Coturnix japonica: one gene and its partner. The protein of the gene in region 1 purifies or fractionates together with the protein of each later gene. This does not show direct contact. Links are inferred from orthologs where the notes say so. Each region holds a gene or a part of one and is shown in the gene's direction. Other genes may lie near its edges. The genes, in order: NCAPD3 and SMC4.

What was found.
Region 2: the proteins of NCAPD3 (region 1) and SMC4 purify together in Homo sapiens (co-immunoprecipitation; 3 studies listed by BioGRID and IntAct, with this or other methods). This does not show direct contact. The link is inferred for Coturnix japonica from reciprocal best matches to the Homo sapiens genes NCAPD3 and SMC4.

What each region holds. Positions count from the first base shown.
Region 1 is NC_029539.1:2,122,961-2,134,415, reverse strand, and holds part of NCAPD3 (condensin-2 complex subunit D3), read left to right. Parts: intron 1-1,858; coding exon 1,859-1,932; intron 1,933-2,842; coding exon 2,843-2,977; intron 2,978-3,634; coding exon 3,635-3,855; intron 3,856-5,287; coding exon 5,288-5,479; intron 5,480-5,800; coding exon 5,801-5,898; intron 5,899-6,027; coding exon 6,028-6,140; intron 6,141-6,564; coding exon 6,565-6,672; intron 6,673-6,837; coding exon 6,838-6,940; intron 6,941-7,034; coding exon 7,035-7,142; intron 7,143-8,124; coding exon 8,125-8,363; intron 8,364-9,041; coding exon 9,042-9,121; intron 9,122-9,963; coding exon 9,964-10,101; intron 10,102-10,401; coding exon 10,402-10,535; intron 10,536-10,698; coding exon 10,699-10,898; intron 10,899-11,455.
Region 2 is NC_029524.1:19,694,540-19,705,994, reverse strand, and holds the start of SMC4 (structural maintenance of chromosomes protein 4), read left to right. Parts: upstream 1-1,010; 5' UTR 1,011-1,120; exon of another isoform or gene 1,121-1,154; intron 1,155-1,216; exon of another isoform or gene 1,217-1,317; intron 1,318-1,589; exon of another isoform or gene 1,590-1,951; intron 1,952-2,565; 5' UTR 2,566-2,621; coding exon 2,622-2,751; intron 2,752-3,864; coding exon 3,865-4,043; intron 4,044-4,649; coding exon 4,650-4,841; intron 4,842-6,487; coding exon 6,488-6,664; intron 6,665-11,455. UniProt on the Homo sapiens protein: Central component of the condensin complex, a complex required for conversion of interphase chromatin into mitotic-like condense chromosomes.

The sequences.
Region 1 (11,455 bases):
GTGTTCATTTGTATTAATGTGGTAGCAATACTCATTGCAAAGCAGATAATTTATACTTTCCCAAAAGGATGCTAATTGATGTGGGATGCAGTACTTGTAGCTCCATAGATTTAAGGGTAATTAAACCTCTTGCTTCAGTGCACAAAGAATGGATGTATTTTTGCTGCATAAAACACAGCACCTTTGACTGGCACTGTTATGCAGGGAAGCATTTAATTCTCAGCAGCACCAGGTATTGGCTGATGTTAAAAGCAAAGTGGGAGGTTAAATGGACTGATTTGCAACGTCAGTGTGCTAGATCTGATTCCTTAATGGCATGAAATCAGCACAAAAGTTGGCTTTCGTGGCTGTGATATTTCATTGAATCTCTTCCTCTTCAATGTGGAGTCCTCACATTTAGGCCTCTGTCTGTGTCTTCGCTCTCAGTTGTTGCTATTCACCTCTCTTGAACTGCTGACAATTCAATTTACTGCTTAGCTCGCATCCTGCCTCTGTGTCTTTGTTACACTTCTCATGCTGCTCTTCATGTGGGATCCCTCCATATCTTCATGAACCAGGCTCCTATCTTCTCTATTGAAAGCTTTCTTTCAAAACATTTTGCTGATAAATTTCATTAATCTGCTCTCTAAGATAGAATATCCTCAGGCCACTGAAGGTATTGTGTATTCCCTGTTCAGTTGCAGGCTCTGTGTGGCAGAGGATGCCTGGTTTTGTTATCTGATACACCAGCTGAGCCGCTTGGCACTTGGCAAAACAAATTAAGCAAAGGATTGGATCAAAAAGGGCTGTCTGAGGCTCAAGAGGATAGCTAAAAAACAGGCTTCTCAGAGCCAGTCAAGGTGCATTAGCAAAGCTGTCTGGCACACACTTGTTTGGCTTCTGCCTGTGCTAATTTTGCACTTCTATGAAGACCAAACAGCTTGTCTTTTAGAAGCAAAATAAATCTTTGCTGAGGATATTCAGAACTTGCAAAATGCACAAGGGCAAAGATAAGACTGGTAGGGATAATCTGCAGGGTGAAGTATACTCTATAGAGTATGCAGTGCCTGTCAGCCTATAAACACTCTATTCCCTTGCTAGTTTCTCTTGCTAGTTCTCAGCCATTTAGATCTCAGGGCTTGTTTGTTTTTTTCCCTATGCCACTATGCATAGAAATCCATGACAGTTGGCCAAGGTTGATCACTTTAGCAGATTTGGTTACCTTTGCAATAGCAGCATGACTGTTCTCTTGGCAGTGTCTTGCAAAGAAAAGGTTGTGTGCTTTTTCTGTCAAGCTATTCTCAGGAGAAAGACTCAGTTGCAGTTACCTGCCTACTAAGAAAGCACTAGTCATGCAGATTGAAATCCCTTAGCTTCATTTGATTAAAAAAAGCCTACTTTTAGACCCTATATTTATTGGTTCCCAATGACTAATTGTTTCTCTTAATGGAAACATGGTAGATCTCCAGATGAATCTCTCAAAGTAACAGGTTTCTGTATTTGCAAGTTCAAAATGTCCTTAGGAAAACTTAATTTCCAGCTTTGAAGGCAGCCTGATACCTTTTATATACAGAAATAAAAGAACTGGGAGTTACAGATTATTCCTTTTTGCTCTGTGTATGAAATGATTTGGTATATCACCAGATTTTGTGTTATGTCCTATGATTTATTTTCAAGATAGAAGAACTTTGGGTTTTTCTTCCCCTTGTCAGAATGGCAGCTGCAAAGGAGAACCCACATTCTTTCAGTTAGTTGTTGTTGTGCTTTCAGCCCTCATCTCTTGCTCCTGAAAACCTTGGGCAACAAACTGAGCTCTGCAAAGCATACAGAGGAGGTCTGGGTGGGTGTTATAACTTCTTTTTATCCTGGGTTTGGATAGGAAAAGAAATCATGGCCCTGCTGAGGCTGAGAGCTGGAGATGAGAAAACCACTGTGAGGAAATCTGCTCTCCAGGTATGGTGTTCTTTGCATGATTTCTTGTTCTGCATGATTACACAGAATGCCATTGGAACAAATAATTGAGCTGTAGTACTGCAGTGAACTGTATGTAAGTTTGCCCAGCTGTAGCTTCTTGCTATTCCCACCGAGTGCATTCAGTCCTTAAAAAGGTCATTTTTGCTAGTTCTTGATAAGTAAATAATGCAAGGAAGAAATAACATTCTAGTACTCTTTTGCTGGCATTCACTTATTCCATCATTTAGAGAAAGAGCCTCTTTCCAAATGTCAATAGGTATTTAACTTAAGCGACTTCCTTACAAACTGGGGCATAAGAGGTGCTTTGTTTCTACCTTGTTAGCAAGAGTTTGGGCTATATCTGGCATCATTTTGAGGGATGCACTGCTTTTCTGCTTGCTTCATTTTAATTAATTAAGTCATGAACTTTGAAAGGTATCTTCTTCAATGTGAATTTCACTGTTTTATAGGATACGGATCTGTTGTTGACTGCCTTTCTCCCTGTTAGTCCTCTTTCCCTTAGTTCTTCCCCTCCAGGATAAATCAGGATGAGAACACCTCAGGTTAAGGGTTTCTGACTGTTTTGTTGTGAGGTTTTCAATTCTTTTCCCTCTTATTGGCAGGTGAAAGATGTAGGTCATAACAAGAGAAACATTGGCTTCAAGGGGGAGTTGTGGCATTGACTCAATGCAGAATTCTCTTATAAAATCTGAAGGACTGAGAAGTTCTCTTAGCATTCTGTATCAAGTTCTGCCCGGTACTTAGAAATTACTAATGTTATGTTTCCCTTTCATTGCGATACATTCTATTCCCTGTTGACTTAAATTAGGGATTGATCTATTTCTGATTAATTTCCCCATGCATCCTGGCTCGTATTCCCGATGAACTCATGCTGTTTTTTGACCTGCAGGTTTTTACAAACATCCTGAAGCACAAAGCAATCCCTTGCACTGCAGAAGATTTGTCCACTCTTCAGGACCGTTGCCGGGACCCCGCAGTCTCTGTGCGGAAACAGGCCTTGCAGTCTGTGACAGAACTCCTCGAGGTGAGGAAATGAACAACACCAATTCTTATGGCTGAAATGTTGGTTTAAGAGGATGAGGGCACAGCAAATCACTTATGACTGTGCTCTTTATTTGTTTTAATCATCTCTTGACTTGCAATCAGTGACTTGCACATACTTGCCATTTATGTGGGATGCTTTCAACTGCTGGAAATGCTTTTCTTTTCCCTGCCTGTTGGTTTTATGTGTCATGGAAGGGATGTTTATGTTGCTGTCCTTCTGAAATTTGAGAACCTGAATCATTTTGCTGTGATACAGCATGTTCATGATGCCACTGTAATGTTTTTCCTTCTCTTCTATTTATTCTCAAAGGTTTGGTAACTTAGTCATGGAGCATAAGGTTTGTATTAATCAAAACCCTCTTGTTTTAGTCTTAAATCATCTGCATTACAGTTTTATTGCAATACTCTCATAATTATTTATAGAGTTTCAAAACAAACTATTGCATTGCTTTAGCCCAGGTAGTTTGGTCAGAGTACTGTACTTTCTGCTGTCAGTTGAGCAGTGAGCTAATTGTAACTTATTTTACAAGTTAACAAATGAATCTCAAGGTTTCTAGGCTTTCGTTGGTCTTATCTGTGCTTGTAGGACCACATCATAACTAAAGGAGATGTTTCTAATACAGTGTGTTTCTCTCAGGTCCAGCACGATGATGTCCTGGTGCACAAGGCTTGGTTGACTGGAGTTGTGCCTGTTGTAATGGACTCTGAAACTTCTGTTCAAGAAAAGGCCTTGGAATGCCTTGATCAGGTTTTGTTGCAGCACATAAAGCATTACAGTAAATTCAGGAGGGAAGACAAGAAGCAGGTGCTGGCATGGGATCTCCTTACGCTGCTGACTTCGGAAAGCCAGGAGCTGAGGTAAATGTGGCTGTCCTTCATTGTGGGCTCTTCTGGTGTTTCCAAAACACTCCTTTGTCCAGTGCACTGGATCTCTTTGTTGCCTTTATTATCTTGGCATTCGTGGACAAAATCCAGATTATTTTATTAAACTTCTAATAGGATTAAAACATGCAGCTTTTCCTTTACGGTAGGAAATGGCTTAGTGACCGGAGGACTAAGATACAAGCATGGGCTTATGTTCTCAGCTTTCCCATCCTCTGTGTGACCACAGAACAATAAGTGCCACAGTTGAAATGCATGTACCACCTATTGCACAGGGGCAAAAAACTGAATGTATTGGGTGTTTTTTTAAGCTATTTGAACTCTCTGCTCAAAGCAGACAATGAAAGCACACATTGCTCTAGAGATGGCAGCTGTCATGCTGTGAGCTGCCTGTGTTGCTCTGCCAGTTCGTAGGACAGAGGAGCTGTCAAACATATACACCAGCAGTTGGTGAGAAGAGCACAGTTTTGTTTTGTGTTGAGTGTTTTGATTTGCTCTTCTTGTTACCTGTGCAGTCTCTCCAAACCCTGGTGTTCATACACAGGAATGTCACTTGCTGTTCTTGATGCGCTGGTAGCAGCATGAATGTTAAATGGAGGTGTTGTGATGACAGAAGTAAGAGAGGCTATAGGAAGGGAGAAGATCTTATTATTTCTGGTGTACAATATGTTACTTGTCTTATGACAAATAGAATGATTCTGCCTTTTGCAGAATGTTGTGGGATGAAGCAGAAGAAATGGGCTAATACAGTATGACAAGGACGCAACATTGATTAAAGCCGGCTGTATGTTTATTAGTCAACAGGGCATAATAGCTCAGAAATAGAAAATGAGATACTGGTTGTGCTGCCTTGCAATCTGTAAAACTGTCAGTGTTCTAATTTGGGCTGTTTTATGACACAGTTTGAAGATTCATGGCACCTTTACTTGGTGACCTCGAAGTACCTTGCAGCTTGATATATCTCAGAATAAATCTGTCCATGTGAAATGGGTAGCTAGAGTTAAACAGAAGGATGCAACCAGTGCTGTCCCATTAAGGATGTTAAATAGAAACTGCTATTGTCTTTTTGAAACTGTCTTTGGTACAAATCTTTGGTTGTTGTTGAAGTATCTTCTGGGCTTGTTCTGATTCAGGTTCCTCTGTCTGACAGACACGTTAACTCCAGGTCTGTAGTGCATCAGGACTGATCAGCACTGCAGCCATCTGAACTCTAACAGAAAGAGTGACCAACAATAAAACACATAGCAGAAATCCTATCTACTCTGGGTAGAAGGCAGGTGAAGTCATAGCACCCCTGTTCTTCACAGCATGTTCTGGGCAGATGTTGGATTTTGCTAGTGGTCTCCACGACCCCAGGAGTTTTGTTTGCTCCTTGTTTATCATGCTTTCTTTTCTTTCTTCCTTGTAGCTGTTATATGAACAAAGCTTTTCATATTTGGTCCCGGCAGAAAAAATTCTCTTCTACTTTCATCAATAACGTGATGTCTCACGTGGAAACAGAGCATGCTGTACCAGCTTGGATGTTGCTTGCTAAGGTGGCAAGTTCTTCACCCAAGCTGGATTATTCCAAGGTCATCGAATCCTGGTACACTGTCAGCAGGTATGTGTGCTTTGACCTCCTCTATTCTACTGGGAAGAGATGGAGGTGAGGATGAGGAAGTGAGCCCTATCTGTCCTTCCATAGACATAGTGCTGCTTAGATCACCATTCTTTAGTCAGGCAACGACGTTCTGTAGCTAGGAAGTAAGCAATAACCCACAGATTTGTGCAGCCATCAAGTCTTACATTGAGCTTTTTGAGTTTTCATTTGGTTTGATGAGTCTGCCTTGATAGAGCGTAGCCAAGATGCGTGGATTTTTCTGCTGTGGTTGGTGGTTTTCCGAAGCATAAATTTTAGCTTGTCTGCTCTGCTGTTTTCCAGGCAACAGAACACGAGCAATGATTCTACAGGACATATACTGTCTGTTGTCAGTCATGTTGCAAAGCACCTCCCTAAAAGCAGCTGTGAGAGACTGATTGGTGAGTGGCCCTGAGAAACTGCAGAGTAGAAAGTACAGTTTGGTTTTATCTCCTAGCTAAGGGTTATTCTCTGTGAGTGGTTGCTTGGCCGACCAAATCCCCATGCTATGTGTGTCATCTCCTTTTCAGATAACATCAAGCACTGGCTGAAGGAGTTTCAGTGTCCCCTGGAGGTGATTAGCCCAGCTGTGGAGTCACTGCAGAAGCTCTGCTGTGCGTATGCAGGTGACCCAAAGGCACAGGTGCGACTTAAAATACTCCTTTTAAAATAGTTTGTTTCATGTGTATACGGACTGACTCTTGAAGGCAGCTTCTGTCTCCAGTCTGTTGCTTGATTGTCTCACTGAGCACAGAGGATCCAGCTCCAGCCACTAAAGTCTGTTGACTTACTGCATTCCTAAATGAGACCTGCACTATCAGCTATTTCTGAGGGTTGGTCCATTAGAAGCTATAAGCTTTCACTATAAGCTCAGGCTATTTTACACCAGAGCTGGTGCTAATGCATGTATTTTCAAGGCCTCTCTAATGGGCCCAAGCACACAGTTAGCAACACATTGTATGCATATAAGGATTTTCAAATTGGGGATTTATGTGTGCAGATGCTAAATGGAACTTAGCCATGATGTTAATAAAGTGCCTGATTAATTTTGTTTCATTGTGGAACAGAAACTGCTCAACCAAGTGTTTGGAGACTTAATATCCACTTGTGAAAGTTATATTTCAAATATAGTTCTCAAAGAGGACGGAGCAGAGCAGTTGCAAGAAGATCTCTTGGTAAGTTTGGTTCCCTTTTGTGGGCTGGGCAAAGGATGTGAATTTTCTCCAAATGAGGGGGCTGTTAAGTTCATGGCAGTAATGGTTACACAGGAAAGTCCTGCTGACTTAAGGCTGTGGCTGAGCTGCAGATTTAGTCTGCAGCGTTGCTTTTTCTTTCTATAGGTGAGGCACCTCTTCCTCTTGGGTGAGGCTGCTCAGCTGTGTCCAGCCAAAGTGGAGAAACGCATCTTTCTTTTGATCCAGTCCATTCTGGCTTCTGATCAACGTGAGGCTCTTTCCCTTCTGCCTTTAATTCTCCTTTTATCAACAGTGCTGTTACCCAAAAAGCACTTTTTCTTTCCTGACCCATTCTTTCTTAGTGTCTAATCCTCCTGATGATGAGGAAATACCGGCTTCTCAGCCACTGTCCCAGTTCAGAGGATCAGCCATGCCTCCTGTGATCAGAGCTCATGCATTCATCACTCTTGGTAAGCATCGTCCTGCAGCAAGAGTGCCCTTTATATCCAATTCCCACCCTTCCTGTCTGCTCTCTGCTTCATGTTCTACTCAAAGGCCACGTCAGCTCTAACAGATAGATGCAGCACTCAGTGTTTTGTTTCGCTTCTTAGCAATGCAAATATCCATGGTAACAAGTTGCACAAACCATAGAAGTCTATGAGACTGTTTTTCAAGTCTGTTGATGCATTTTTCCTATATAGTACTCTTCAGGCATATGCTGTCCTTGTACTCAGAATTGGTTGCTGTCTAGCTGAGTGATCTTCTAATTTGTAGTAGGGTGCTCAACAGAGGATGAAGAAAACCTGGTGCTTTCGGTGCAGCGTAGAGCAGAATTTCTGTACGTAGTTACTTGTTCTCCTTAGTATGAATGACTGGGCTTCTTTGTGATAGAACCCTGATCAAATCTGCAACTCCAGTATAAACAAGTGTGCTAAGTGAAACTTTGGGTATTGTAGCCCCACTGTATATATGAGCAAATCTTATATCTGTTGCAGATAGAATCATTCTTTCATTAACTGCTTTGGGAACCTTAATATTTCTTGTACCGAGCTGAGAAACAGTTAGGAAGAAGTAATGTTAGAATGCAGGCTATTTTATTTTCAGTTGGTTTAGTAATGTTCCTAGAGGTGGGTGTCTCCCTGTGATGCCTATGACAGCTGGGGCTGTTCTTTTTAGCTGCTTTGAATAATACCCCGTACACAGGAATAGTTCACTGTGAAGGAGGGAGTTTGGCATAGAGGCCCACAGTATAGGTCTAAAAAGAGTTTGGAAGAACTCCTTGAAGTATAATTTCTTTGAGAGGTGGTGCAGATTGCTCATCAAGTTTCAGCATATGTTTCTTGTTTATTCACCTGTTTACTACCCGATTCTTCTCTTGGCTCATCCTGGGCTCAGAGCTGTGGTGGTTAGGAATATATTCACAGCGCTGACAGTCTCATCTCTATTTCACAGGTAAACTGTGTTTGCAGCATGAGGATCTGGCAAAGAAGTGCATTGCAGCTCTAGCTCGAGAGCTGGAGGTGTCACACGACGTGGCTGTTCGCAATAACGTCGTCATTGTTATGTGTGACCTTTGTATCCGCTACACCACCATGGTGGACAGATACATCCCCAACATTTCCTTGTGCCTGAAGGACCCATATCCCTTCATTCGGAAGCAGACATTGATTATGATTACCAACCTTCTGCAGGTAAACAGAAGTCCCCTTCTGTTGTACTAAGCACTGACCGAGAGCTTATTGCTTACAACTTGATTCTGGAGCATAGCTGTAATGTTTCTTAACTTATGAAGGCTTCAAACATGCATTTTGTTACTATTTCTCAAGGTGGGCAAACATTGATGATGCTCAGCACAGCTGGATAACAAGATTATTTTTATTCAGTGGTTCTCTTATCTTGGTTTCTGTGAATCCCCTTCCATTTTGCTCCTATATGAATGAATGTACTAAGCACCACAGCACCTTTTCCCTCCACATCTGCTTATTGTTTTAAAGTTGTGGAAGTGGAGAGGCTGACAATATTTGCCCCTCCGGTGTTCACGTGAAGCCAAACAAAGCAGATTTGGAGTGTGTTTGGCTCTCACAACAGCGTTGAGGAGCATCTGTGCCTTTGGCACTGGAAAGCAGATTTTTCTTGATTCTGCTTTTTTATTGGTGAACCTGGATGCTGTGTGCTTATTCTGCTTCAAGCATCTCCTAGAACTGTCTTTTTGAGGTTTATTTTCTGTACATAGTGGTGAAGTTGTATAGCTTGTTTATTTTTCGATGTATGTTCTGGCAGGCTCCATCAGATACTGCCCTGGCTGCTCTGTGAAGCCTCATGTGAGGTTTTTCCTTGTTCCTTACTTATCATCTGTCCTTTTCTTCTAGGAGGAGTTTGTGAAATGGAAGGACTGTCTCTTCTTCCGTTTCATTAGTGTCTTGGTGGATCCAAATCCAGATATTGCCAGGTAAAATACTCATCTGTAAAATACTGGAGGTGTTGAGGAGCACAGATGTACTCTGTTCTTTATGCTTGGCCTTTTTAAGCTTTCTGCCACATTCTGTAGTACTTTGACATAGCAGGAGAATCGCTCACACTGATCATAAGTACACATGCGTGAAGTTTTTTTGTGTTTCCAAGTCTGAAGCTGCTTTGCTTTAGGGGAAATGAGAGGCATTTTCCTCCAAGGATGGAAGGTTGTGATGATGCTGGGTGCCAATGAGACTTGGACAACTTTCTGCCTGGAACATCCAAACTTAAGTTTGGTCTTCCCAGGGCTGTCAACCCATCATTGCTTACAAGTTGCATATTCAAGCCTGCTCTTCTTTTTTTAATATGCAAAAATATCTTTCCAGTAGGTGGTGGCATTGCAGCATCTTGTTCCTTGAATTCTAGCTGTGGAACACGCTGCTATTTCATTGGTAGCCTTTTTCTTTGCATCTGCATTCAGAGGCTGTATCTACATAAAAAATACTTTCTTCAAGTCTGAGATTGACTTTCAGCTCCTGCCAGACTTCTGGTGATTAACTTTTTGCAGAAAGTGCTGTGTTTCAGGAGCTTCACTCATAAAGATAATGAAAATGCTGTGCCTGCATTCAAGTTAAATTTATTTCTGCCTCTGTTTCAATGGCAATAAGAGAGCAGTACTGCAGAGCTTAAGGTCAATAAGCTAGTATGTTGTTTAAGCCCAGATATAACTGGGCAGGTATTAAATGGGGGTGTTGAGGGAGACTCAGGAGTGGAGAACTCCTCCTGTACTGCCTGTGACCCTCTGCTGTGTTTCAGGGGTGACTTCTCTTTCCTTTCTAGTTTTGCAGAGTTCTGCTTGGTGCATCTCTTGCTGAAGAGGAATCCATTAATGTTCTCCCAGCACTTCATTGAGTGCATCTTCCATTTCAATAGCTACGAGAAGCATGAGAAGTACAACAGGTTCCCACAGAGCGAGAGGTCAGTTGAGCACGTTTCTACCTCCTTACTCCTGAATGGTGGCCACGCAGACTTTGGTTACAGAAAGCATTTGTGGTACTTCATATTGATGTATGCAGTAGGGGGAAAACAGCTCAAGGAGATGGTGTTAAATTAAGTGGGAGAATTTCTGCATGTAATTTGTGGGAGTGTGTGGTATCCTGGCACACTGATGGGTCTTGAAAGTGACATGCAGATATTCCTTGTTGATTTCAAGTCTTACTATTTTTGTGAGATGGCATAATGTGACTTAACCACGTAAAATGTCTTTCTCTACTACAGGGCGAAGAAGCTCTTCTCTCTGAAAGGAAAAGATAACGAAGAAAAAAGGATGTATATCTACAAGTTCCTACTGGACCACTTTACAGACGAGCAGAGGTTCAGCATTACAACAAAGATCAGCCACAGTGTCCTGGGTAGGGGCCACCTTCAGGAAAAAAAGATAATTAATCTGGCAGACAACTTGTGTCCATTTAAATAAACCCATAAGGCTGTGAGTCCTATGGTGTTACCTTTCTGTCTTTCCTGGCACTGTTTTTTCCTCTGAAGTGATTTTTACTTCTTCCCTGCCTGTTCCAGCATGCTTTGTAGATGGGGTCCTTCCATTGGACATGGAAGCCAGTGAGCTGCTCTCAGATACGTTTGCTATCCTTAGTTGCAAAGAAATCAAGCTGTCGACTATGAGATCAAAACCTGAAGACGACATTCAGCCTGATGAAGATGAAATGGCAATGGCTAATGCTGTCATGCAGGCAGCACAAAAAAAGCTCATCTCACAGGTAAATGGCACTTGGATCTGGCTGGGAAGAGGACTGTCCACAGTGCTGAGAGGAGTTTTAGCTTTCTGTGTTGCAGAGACTTGGCAAGCATTATTCATGTATTGTTACCAAGGGCATGCAATACATATATGTTGTTGTTCAGGCTCTGGCTGTAGATCCACTCTGCCCTAAGGGCCTGTATGGAAGCACTGTGTATTGCGAAAACAAGATGTTAAGGCTAGATTTGTAACAGACCCTTGTGCTTGTGAGGGGTCAGTTGGAGTGATCAGAAATGCATTTCCTGTTTAAGAAAAGAAAAAGCAGCTTTAATTTGTTTAAATTGCTTCTACACGTCTCCTATTGTTAAAGCATCTGAGCCTAAATGGTTTTTGGTGCACCTTTAGACAATTTGCTTTCAATGTACGAGCAGACTCAGTGATCCATCTTGAAAGACTCCCATTTAGGTTAAAAGCCTAACCTGTACACGTGCAGTATAAAAGTGGGCTTAATTGTGATAATTCCTATGCTATGAAGCAGTAATTCCTTTCACTTAGCCCATTCATGTAACAACAGAGTGA
Region 2 (11,455 bases), on another chromosome or scaffold:
CTGTGCTGCGATCCTCCCCACCCAGACACATCAGAGGGGCCTTCCAGCCCCGTCCCAGACCCAACTGTGTGCACGGCTCCCACCTGCCTCGTTCTCCTGCACCCAGCACAGCACAGCACCCCTCACCCCTCCGCCCCGCCGTGGCTCTCAGCCCACGGACCGTCCCCCGCCGCGCTCCGTCCGGCCGTGCCCGCCGCCCTCGGCATCCGCCCGCCCAGCGCCGCCCCTCCCACCTCCGGGCCCTCCGCCCGCGGCCGCCCCCTGCCCAGCTCTGCCTTTACCTGCGGCGGGGCGGCTCGTACAGCTCATACACCTCGTACAGCCCTTATAGCTCACACAGCTCGGTGCGGGGCCGTGTCTCCTTTGCCGTCTCTATGGCCACGTCCCGCGAGAAGCGCCCCCCCCCCCCGCAGGCAGCGCCGTGTGACATCGCGTCACCGCACCGCCCGTTAACGAGCGCTCATTTCAAAGCGAGCCCCGTTTTCACTTTATTTATACACGCGTTCAAACACTTTTTAAATGTTTTTCGTGGACTTTTTGTTTTCCTTTTTTTGTTTTGTATTTTTGGCGGAGCTCTCTGTCGTGCCGTCCCCCTGGGCGCCCAAGCGCCGCCCCCTGACCTAGTTCTGTACCGAAGGGATGAATCCCTTCCCGCAGTCGCTGCCGACCCGCAGCCCGTCCCTCCATCATCCCCGCACGGCCCCGCGCTCAGCGTTAACTCGCGTTACAGCCGCTCTATCCCCGCTCCATCCTCCCCTCACTCCCCGCCGCTCTAACGGCCGACAAGATGGCGCCCGGCGCGGCTTTTCCTCCTTTCAAACCCGCTCCCGCCCCGCCCCGCGCCGCCCCATCCTGCCCCGCGCCTTTCTAACGAATTTCGGTTCGATTTCGCCGTTTGGGCGCCATTTTCGAGTGTAGAACCCGCGGTGTGAGCGGTGTGAGCGGTACGAGCCGTGTGAGCCGTGCCCACCGCCGCCCGCGGGGCTCCGAGCCGCCCGTCCGCATTGAGCGCGGAGCTTCGGCACGGGGCGGCCGGGACTTACCCCATACGGCGGGACGGGCGGGCGGCACGAGGAGCAGAACGGAGCAGAGCGGAGCGGAGCTTCACCCCGTGCCAGAGGTGAGCGGTCGGGGCGGGGGGCGCCGCGTGGAGCCGCGTTGTTCCCTTCTCTCCCCGCCCTGAAGCAGCGCGAGGCGGCGGCCGCTCCTTCCCGGTCCCGCTGTCCGTGTGGCCGGGCCGTTCCCGGGCTGCTCTCGCCGCGCCCGCTCTGTGAGCTCCGCCCGCAGCTCTGACCCTCGCAGGGCGAGAGCCGAACCGTACGGAACGGGTACCCGGCGGGGGGTGAGGGGGGGAGCGGGCAGAGGGAGATTTTCTCGCTGACATCGGTTATCGCTGCCGAGGGGTTGCGATAAGGGCGGCTTCCTGCACGCCGCTGCCTCTCCCCCTCCCCGCGATGCCGGGCATGAGCCGCGCTGTGCTGCGCTAAAATACGGCCCGGTACCGGGACAGGCTGCGGCTGCCCCGGCACAGCCCTGTGGGACGGTCCGTAACGGCAGCACGGGCTGCGAGCGCTTCTAAACGAGTTCTCTTAGTTCTCTTAGTTCTCTTAGTTCTCTTTCTCGTTTTCCTCCCCTCCCCCATTATCCCAAATGAAGGACTCTCATGAGAGTGTGGGCTGGGGGTAGGTCTGCAAACGTCAAATGATTGGCACCAATTGTGAGATGACTTTCTAACCACGTCAGTTTTGTTTTATCTGCCTTGAAGTCAACTTTCTCGTGTCTGTTGCTCCACAAACCGCCTTCCCCACTTGCTGCGATTTAAACTCTTTGGAGTTTCCCTCCCTCCGCTCTCTTTCCCTTTGCCGTTCGGTGGGAGCCGTGTTGGATCAACGTGTGGACTAACGTGCGCTCCGTCCCTGCTCAATAGCTTTAACAGCAGCACGGGATGAAGGTATTTTCGCGTTGCTCTGCTGTTAGGTGCCGATTGCCGGCAGTCGGGGCTGCGCTGCGTCTCACCAAAGGAGCGTATTATTGAGGGGAGCTGTCGGAGGGTGAAACGCTCTGAACTACGCAGGTCTTTTTGTTTGTGTGTCCGTACGCTCAGCATGGAGAGCTGGGAGCAAAGCGTGTGTCGGGACTGAACGCTGCATGGACAGAGCGCGGACATGGGGCTCCCCGCTTGACTCCTGCCATCGTCGTTAACTCTTTGGCCCCTGGTGTCACCGCTGCTCTCCCCAATAGGGAGCTGGTGGCTCTGTGTGTGCCGGGGGGGTTGGAGCTTTGTGATCATTGAGGTCCCTTCCAACATGGGCCACTTTGTGAGTGTGCAAACCCCATCGGCGTCAGGAGGTGCACGGCTGTGTCTGCAGATCAGGGCGGGTCCGTTGTTTTTTGGGGCGATGCGTTTATTACTTTCAGCCGTAGTTTTTGTTTCAGCTTTGGGGGTTTTTTTTGTCTTCAAAACGCATCTGGTCTCTCGTTTCTGCGTTAGTTGGACTCGTAGGTGTATTCTGTAGGGGACTGGAGTTTAATGCAGAGTTGGTGGGGTTTTCTTGTTTATGTTAGAGTGAGATCCCTTCGGTAGTTCGATTGCTTGGAATTGCCGGGGAGCAGCCGAGATCATGGCGAGCAGGAGCACCAAAAACTCCACAGCAGCACAGCAGAAAGGCAGACAGCACGTAGAGGAGCACAACGGTGACATGCAAGTGGACAAACAAGACGACGGGCATCCTGGGGAAGGAGCAGCTGAAGGTAGGTGGGAGCACTGTGCTCCTGATGCCTTAAACCTGGTGCACAGAGCAGCAGAGCTCAGCTGGAGCTGCCGACTATTCCACATTGGACTCGCTCTGCTCTCGTCTAGAAAGGAAGGTTGAAAGCTCTGACTCCTGACGTGTTCAAACTGCTTTTAAAGTGGTTTGCAAAGAGTTAGCGCTGGGACTTGTGACCGAGTGTAAGTGCAAAAGCAATTAGTGAATTTTCTTCTAATAAAGCCTATTTCATGTCCCTGATCTGTACCGGGTGGTGGTACAAGAGCCAGGATTTTTCACACTTAGACGCAGCCAATGCTCTGAGATTTCTTGGAATGGAATAAATGTCACGTTTATTTGTTTAACTCTTAAAACGATTGGACTTTCCTTTTCATGAAGCAGAGCATTGTCTTGTGGTTCTGGGGTTGAGTTTTTGCTGAGAGTATCTGCAAAAAGAGCAGCGTGTGTCTTTTAGGGTAACGAGACAGGAACGACTGAAAGCTCACAGCACAGATATTTGACAAATGGATTGATAAACTGAAATTGGTGTCAAAACCTCCTGTCTGTGTGAGGGAAAAGCTGCTGGTAACTGTTGAAAAGCTGCTTTGCTTGTAACGAGCAGATATCCAGGGGGCCAGTTTGTTTTCGTAACAAACTTCCTGTCTTTGCAGAGCAGTCGTGCTGTCATTACAGCTTTAGAGCATTGTGCAGCGAGCCCCAAATCTTGCGGAGTGACTTGTGAGCACGCTTGAAATGTGGCTTTGCACTTATTAATTAGGAAGACTTTGCCTGTTTCAGATTTGTAGCCTTATTGTGACGGCTGTAGCTATTGTAATTGCGGAGTGCCTATTAAAGTGTGTTAGAATAAGGATTGCATAATGAAAGAACAAACCCACTGGTGAATCGATGGGACGTCTTAAGTGTCTCTTTTTTAAAGATTCAGTTCGTGGAAAGAAGGATTTTAATTCCACTTAACTCCTTTTAATAACTGCAGAAGTGTAGCTTTGGTTATTATGGAAATGATGTCTGCTTTTGAAATGGAGCACTGTAAAAGGTGTTTGGTCATTGAGTGCTTATGGCCTTAATTTTCTTTCTGCTTATTTTGGATGGTTTTTAGAAGTCTCAAACGAGGAGTCTGATAATCGGAGTTTAGAAGAGATTTTGGGTAGCATCCCTCCTCCCCCTCCTCCAGCAATGACCAATGAAGCTGGTGCTCCTCGTCTCATGATAACTCACATTGTAAACCAGAACTTCAAATCCTATGCAGGGCAGCAAACTCTGGGACCTTTTCATAAGGTAATTTTCTTATCCCTTAAGCGCTCTCTAAGTGCAGGTAAGGCTTTGCTGTGCGCTGGTGGCCCTTCCTGTAGTTTCACATAACCTCACCTCAGAAAAGCTGAGCAATATTGAGGTCTGAGAATTGTTTTGGTGGCGATGTCCTTCCTTTTAGTTGCTGAGCAGTAGGAAAACAGCAAAGTGCAAATTCTTGATTGTGTACAATTGTAATTTGTCAGAAAGCCTGTGAAAAAGGACATTGCTGCCTTGATTTCGTTTGCTGGGGAATTTGGAGGAGCACGTTTGAAGAATGAGAATGTTTTTAGTGCCCACAAGGGATTTACGTGGCTAATCATGAAACTTTCCTTGCGAACTTGCTTGCTAAGAGCAGTATCGCTTTGAGTTCACAAGTTATGATTTAGAAAGCTGAGCTGAGTGGAGGTGTTGTTCTCTTAAATAAGCTGTGCTGCTCTGCCTTTGGTTGTGAAGATTAAGCTACCAAATGAGCTGCAGTTTCCTGCACTAGAAGTAATTCTGTTTGGAACTATGTACAAATGCAGTGGGTGATGTGCACAGCCCAGGATCTATTTCCCTCCACCCGACACCTTTTTTCCTTCTGTTCTGCAGCGTTTTTCATGCATTATTGGGCCCAATGGCAGTGGGAAATCCAATGTCATTGATGCGATGCTTTTTGTGTTTGGGTATCGAGCACAGAAAATCAGATCCAAAAAACTGTCTGTGTTGATCCATAAATCTGAGGAACATATGGACATCCAGAGCTGTTCTGTGGAAATCCACTTCCAAAAGATCATTGACAAGGTATGTATCCATGTATCCTGCTCTGCAGAGCGGCGCTTGCTTTATTCAAGCGTTTGACAACTTAATATTCGATTAGTTTGAGCTGGGGAAGGCGTGGTGGCAAGGTTTACCCTTGGGATGTAAAGCACCAATTTGAAGTTAATTAGCTTAAAAATGCTCCTCTCAGTAGTGCAGCTCTTACAATATGAGCAGGGGCTCGTGGGCTGCTCTGTGAGAGCAGTGTCTGCTGTGCAGTGTTTTGGAGCTGCTCACACTCACCTAACTGTCATTTTCAGAAGTCGTTGTACATTTGTTGGTTCTTTGCCCTCAAGTAAATAAAGCTTATTTCTGAAATTAACAGCACCTCGAATCACTTCTGAGGCTACATTCGGATGTGTTATATATGTGTGCATTTATAATATGAGCATATGGATTCAGGTGTAAAAACTATTGGAGTAAAAGCTTCCAAACCAATTAGAAGCTATTTTAAAAAATTCATTAAATATAAAACCAATCTGGAACACTTAATGGACAATAAATGGGCCTGCAATTCAAAAGCAGGTTTTCAATAGAATTTCTGGGTTTTACACCCTCTGGCTGATATCGTGTTTGAATGAAATAGAAAGTGCTGACAACGCTGGAAAAAAAAATGCAATAAAATTGTGTTGCTTGTCATTTCATGTATGGGTACAAACGTCTGGGCTGTGCTGTTGACTTATTGCCATTCCAGTACTAGAAATTGATTTTACTTTATTTAAATAGAATTTCTGTGAGCATTTAGTCTGGCTGAAGTGCCTCACTGAATGTCAGGTTAGTCAGTATGGTGGGAAAGGTGTACACCAAAGCATCAGAACCTGTGCTAATGAGGGGACAGTCAGTTACAGACCTGCTTTAGGTCAATTTTCTTTGACTCGATCTGCACAGACCTGTGCTTTTTGCTTCTGTCTGTGTCAGCCACATTCAGGGATTATTTAGTTTTCTTTTTCTGCTGTTCTCTGTATGAGCACCTAGAAGCTGCATTTGTGATGTAAAAACCCTGTGAGTGTTACCTGGTCAGATGGTGCTCTGGGATGGGCCTGGCAAAGCAGAGGCCAGCTGAAGGCTTTACAAGGAGCAGGGCTCGGCTCTAACTGCTTACAATGAGTCCCAGCTTTACTGCAGTTGCTGCTTTTTAGTGAAGTCGAAGTGATGTTTTGAAGCTGATGACCTCATGTTTGTCACATCTTTAATATTTTGCTTTTTTATCTCCTGCAGTTTCTTTTTAGAACTACTCAGCAAAAAGCAGCTTTCTAGCACTATAAAGAGGGAGCTTAATTGCAGACAGTAGCAAATCATTCAAAGCTTCCTGATCTAAAATTGAAAGGGCAGGATACAACAGCCACTTTAAAGCTGAAGTAGGTCTTTTGTGATGTGCAGCCCTGGTAAAGAGAAGAAATTAAGTATTTTTAAAGCAAAAGCTGGTATTAGAGATGAGGGATGCAGCACATGAGGATCATGCAGATTTAGGCTTTTTCTTTTTTTTTGGTCTAGAGCTGAATTTTTTTTTTTTGAGGTGCACATCATTTAAGTGGATCCTGATTTAAAACCTTAACTGGTAAAATGGTGAAATGTGAGGTGAACCTACGAGATACTAATTGTATTTCTGGCTTTGTTTTTCCTCATAACAGGAAGGAGATGATTATGAAGTCATTCCTAACAGCAATTTTTGTGTATCTAGAACTGCCTTTAGAGATAATTCTTCAGTATACCACATCAATGGAAAGAAGTCAACATTCAAAGATGTTGGTATTCTTCTGCGAAGTCACGGAATCGACCTGGACCATAACAGATTCTTGATTTTACAGGTTGGTGTGTGAATAAAACCTGTTTTTATTAAAGCTGTATTTCCAGGTGTAGTTACCAAAATGCTGTTTAGTTGTGAGGCCTTAAAGTACTCTAGCAGCACATCATGGTTTGCATGCTGTAGTGAAGATGCGAATCATTATTTGCTGCTTTAGAAATTTAAGGAAGATAAACAGTTGAAGACACTAATATAAATTTTTCTGTTAATGAATCAGTGCTCCTGACATGTGGATGAATAGAAGAGTTGTGATACTTGTTCCGCCCTAGCAGCACGTAAATATTGGTGTAGTAAAATAAACCTTAAACCCCAATATTATTGTGCTGCTTAAGCGTGGCAGAGATTCAGCAACTTGTTTATACTTTAGATAAAGGTGCATCAATATTAACTTAATGATACTACTATTAAGTTATCTACAGTTCTCATCTATAGACGTGGTTTTACTGCAGAAGTATGTATATTAAAAATAACTGTATAAAATTGAAGGCAAGAAAAAACCCATTTACTTCTCATTTACACTCGTTTAACAACTGCAGGGGACTCAAAGCACAGCAGGTTTGTAGCCAATTCAAGGTGCATATTAAAAAGCTGCAGTTTTTACAGCTCATGCTATAAAAATAATAGAGTCTGTGAATATGATATCATTTCTTCTCACATTGGGGTTTAAAGTTCTAAAGCTTGCTGGTGTGTGCTGGCTGTGTAAAACACAGACAGGCTGAAGGCAAACACACTTTTCTAGTGCTTAAATAAAAATGGAGGATTTTACTCGTGCCAGCCAGTCACTTTAGATGTGAACTGAGTTAAAGTACTTGATGGACACACTTAAAGGGTCCATGGGGTACACACATCTGCAATTACCCATAATTATTTCACTGCTATTACAAGAATGTCACAAATCTGTTCTGAAGGATTTTGGCCTAGAAAATGAGTGAGCAGTGGAAGCCTCCTGAGATCTGACAGTTTGCAACAGAGATGATTTTAAGACTGTTTTTGTCAAAGGAGCTTCCAGTTCCCCTCTAACACAAAAAGGCAAATATTTGAGATAGGTAGCTGTGTTTGCTTCACTTCCTCAAGTCTGCTTCTTACAGTTACACCCACAAAAAGAGGATATATCTGTTTTTGAAGTATTTGTGCCAATTAATTATTCCATTCAGCACTTTCTTCTTGTGTTTTTTGGTTTTCAAGTGAGAAGTATCTCCAATAAAACTATTGGTAATATATATTAGTTATAATAAAGTTGTTATTCAGAAAAATCATTTTAGGAACATTGTTAAAAAGAGAAAAACTGCAGTCAAATATGGTAGAAATGATGGTGCAGAAGCATCCCAAGCTGAGTGCTGCAGTGCCCTTCTGCTCTGGGAGGGGAAGGCAGCGTTTCACAGGGACTGCTGCTAAATGGCTGTTTTAGTTTTTACTTTTCTCCCCAAATGTGGTTTGTTTTCTTCTTCTATTAATTGTTTCCCATGGGGAGGACATACTTGTTCCTAAAAGCTCGAGTTTCATGCTTTTCATCTGTATAATGGGAAATCAGGGCTGATACGAGTGATGTTAAGACACAAAGTGATGCTTCCCACCATTTTTTTTATCCTTTCTTTGCTCTGAACTTTGTGGATAATGTGTTACAATGAACTGTAAGGAAACTCCAGAGAGATTTTCTGTTTATTTGGTGTGACTCCTTGAGCATGTGGCTGTGTGATTTTTATTATTATTAAATAATCTATTTTTTAAGTGAATTCTATTCATCAGGCAATGGAAAACTAGTAATTTCCATCTGGAAAATGTGACTATTTCTGCACAGTGACAGAAAAACATCGAAGCCCAAGTAGTAAAAATGATAGAAGTAAACAAGGCCATACCAGGAAGCCAAGGCTGCCTGCTGCTATCACAGGGATTGCCCCTTTTCCCTACTCCTTTTCAAATTACATTATTTCCAGTCTGAGCAATAAGTGACAGTTCTATTTCACTTTTGCTTCTCTCAAGTTGTATTTTTTGAGCATATTGAGCTCAAATAATTTCACTTTGAAAATAAATCGCACCTCTTTGGTTTTTGACTTTCGTTTGGGTGTAATTAACATACATTTGTTATCAAATGCTGTTTTCAGTCTGTGAGAAAGCATTCTCTAACACTAAAGGAAATGCTGTAAGAGAACAAGTCCTATAAGTAGCACTCTGAGATACTTGGTTAGTGCCCTGCTGCCACACTTAGCATTATTCAATAGCAAATACTTGCATTTCAGAAGGCTGCTTTCTTTTTGCTTTTCTTTCTTTTCTCCACCTTGCTCTGCAGTCTCTCACGTGGCTCACTGGGTGCATCTGGGTGCCACTCTGAAAGCTTGGGCCAGAACCATTTGTTCTGCGAGTTGAGTAGAGAGTGGAGCAGGTACTTGTGATGCCATCCTGAGAATCTTGGAATCAACCAGTTGATTTTGCTGAGTAACAGCACCAGAAATGCCTGTGGGAAAACAATGATATTGGGCAGTTCTAGAAATGTTAGAAATTCTGTGCCTGAATTAGTTAATTGGAAAAAAATCTTGTTTTAAAGGAATGGGTTTGGTTACTGTGTGTTGCTGCCAACAATTAACAGGAGGAGTTTGTCACTTCTGCAATGCTTAAGTTGTATTGCTGTGTATTTTGTTTTTAATAAATTGCTATATGCTTTTTAGCACTTAGGGAACAGAAAACTGTGTGGTGCACTGCTAATGAGGCTGCCACAGCCTGAAACTGCAACAGGAAAAAAAAATGCATCTTTGTTTTTTAAGTATGCTGAGCATTGTGCTAATATCTGTGATATCTGTCATCTTACTGCTATCGGTTCCTGCCTTCCACACTTGAGTAACTCGTTTATCTGTAAAGAAGAACAAATAAAATTATTAATTTAGCTTTTTTTTTTTTTTTTTTTTTTAATATTTGGAACATCAATGTCTATACACAGAAAGCTTGGGTAGGTTTGCCCAGCCAGGTTGAGCAGGGCTCTGAAGGTAAGTGTGTTTGCTGTTGCTCAATAGTGAGTCCTCTGAAGAGGCCAACCTCGAGGCCAGAAAGAAATCCCAGCCTCTCTCTTGTAGCTGGTTGTCCCTAAGGAATTATTAAACTAATGGGGAGAGATTGAGGGGATGTCAGTTAAGGACACCCATGGGGCAGGAGGTCTGGGGAGCGAAACAAACCAGACAGCAACTGCTACCACCTGCTGAAATTGGCTTTGTTATCTTTCAAGGTAAGAGGAGTTCAGTTAATATCAACTTTGTAAACAGAAAATGGAATTTTGCAAGCAGTGCCCATATGGATGAACATTGCAGAAACAATACTAAGAATTAGAAAACCTGAATTTGTTTTCTACTAAATAGAAGCAGACTTTTATGAACTGAAATCAACCTGAACCTGTTTTTTCAAACTATTTTTTCTTGTGCTGATTAGTGTTATTTAAATGTATTTGACAGACAATTAAAAATTTCTCATGTAATCTGATGCAAGTGTGAATAGCTGCAGTGATTTCATGTATGATTTTTTTTTATTTTTAAACTGATTGGGACAGCAGCATTTAATGCACAGATCGGTCTTGTCTTGTGGCAAGATTATGCTGCAGGAGAGGAAATTTAGTCAAGGTTTTCTCCTGCTGCTTTGTGGAAACATAGGAGTCACTCCTTCAGTGTGCAGGGAAGGAAGTGGGGGGGAGCAGATTTTCTTCTTGCTTTGAGATAAGCCAGAAGTTCCCGATGGTTGAGGGCTGCTCTCCTAATGAGGCACACCAACATCTGAGCTGGAGCATCCAAATAGAGCACGAGCTAAAAAAGCTCTACTGGGATTTATAAATGGAGATCAATGCTGCCAAAAGTGGTGAAGAGAGTTTTGTTCTAGAAATTTCAAGGGCAGCTGAGCTGAAGAGGTAGGAAGAATTAGAACCAGTGTAATCAACTAAAAGTGTCATTTGAATAAAATAGTATGTAAAAGTGGAAGCTTTACATTTGATTCAGAGTACAGAATCACTTCCTTGGTTAAAATACTTGATACTGAAGTGAATATGGAGCTGCAAGAGACATGCTAAGACTTCAGTACATGCGATTTCAAAGCGAATTCTTTGCTGTCAGAATTTCTTGGCAATTAATGTGATTTTTATTTTACAAATTCCAGTGCAGCGTCATAAGCAATGTTTTTTGTTTTTGTTTTTTTTTTTCCAGAAAAATAGGAAAATATGGGAAGAGGATGTAAAATGCACTTATCCAATGTAACTGAGTGCTGGGTTAAGTTTGAGGTAGAACATGGCAAGAATCTTATAACAGTCAAACACTGTAGGTTGGATTCCCGGTAACTGATGTTGATTCCAAAGCGACTCTAGACTTGCACTCAATTTGTATTCTTGTATTAAATACAAGAATGTCCTTAAGAAAGCTTCTAAAATTAGACAGATGTGTGAACAGCTTGACAAAGGCTACTTTGAAATGATTTCCAGAATGCAGAACAGTAGTTCTGTGCAAACAACTGAGTGTTGTGTAACAGGCTGTGAGTTTGCCTTCATCTTTGGGTAGTAGAGGCATTGTAGACTTGTGTATTTGTGCTTATTACTTACTTGCCTTTCTTGATTTCTCCCCTATTTTATATCGCTAATCTTTGAAGGTAGAGAGTGAAGGTGAGAATTTGATACTTTCTCTTCTTCATGTTTGCCAACCAACCATGCAGCACTGGAGCTGTGCAACAGAAGCACCTGAACCTTGGTGGCAGTAGTTCAGTATTGTTGCTTGTTCTGATGCTAATTTCAAGGTTAGAATAAAAGCCCAGAGAAATAACACGGACAGGAATA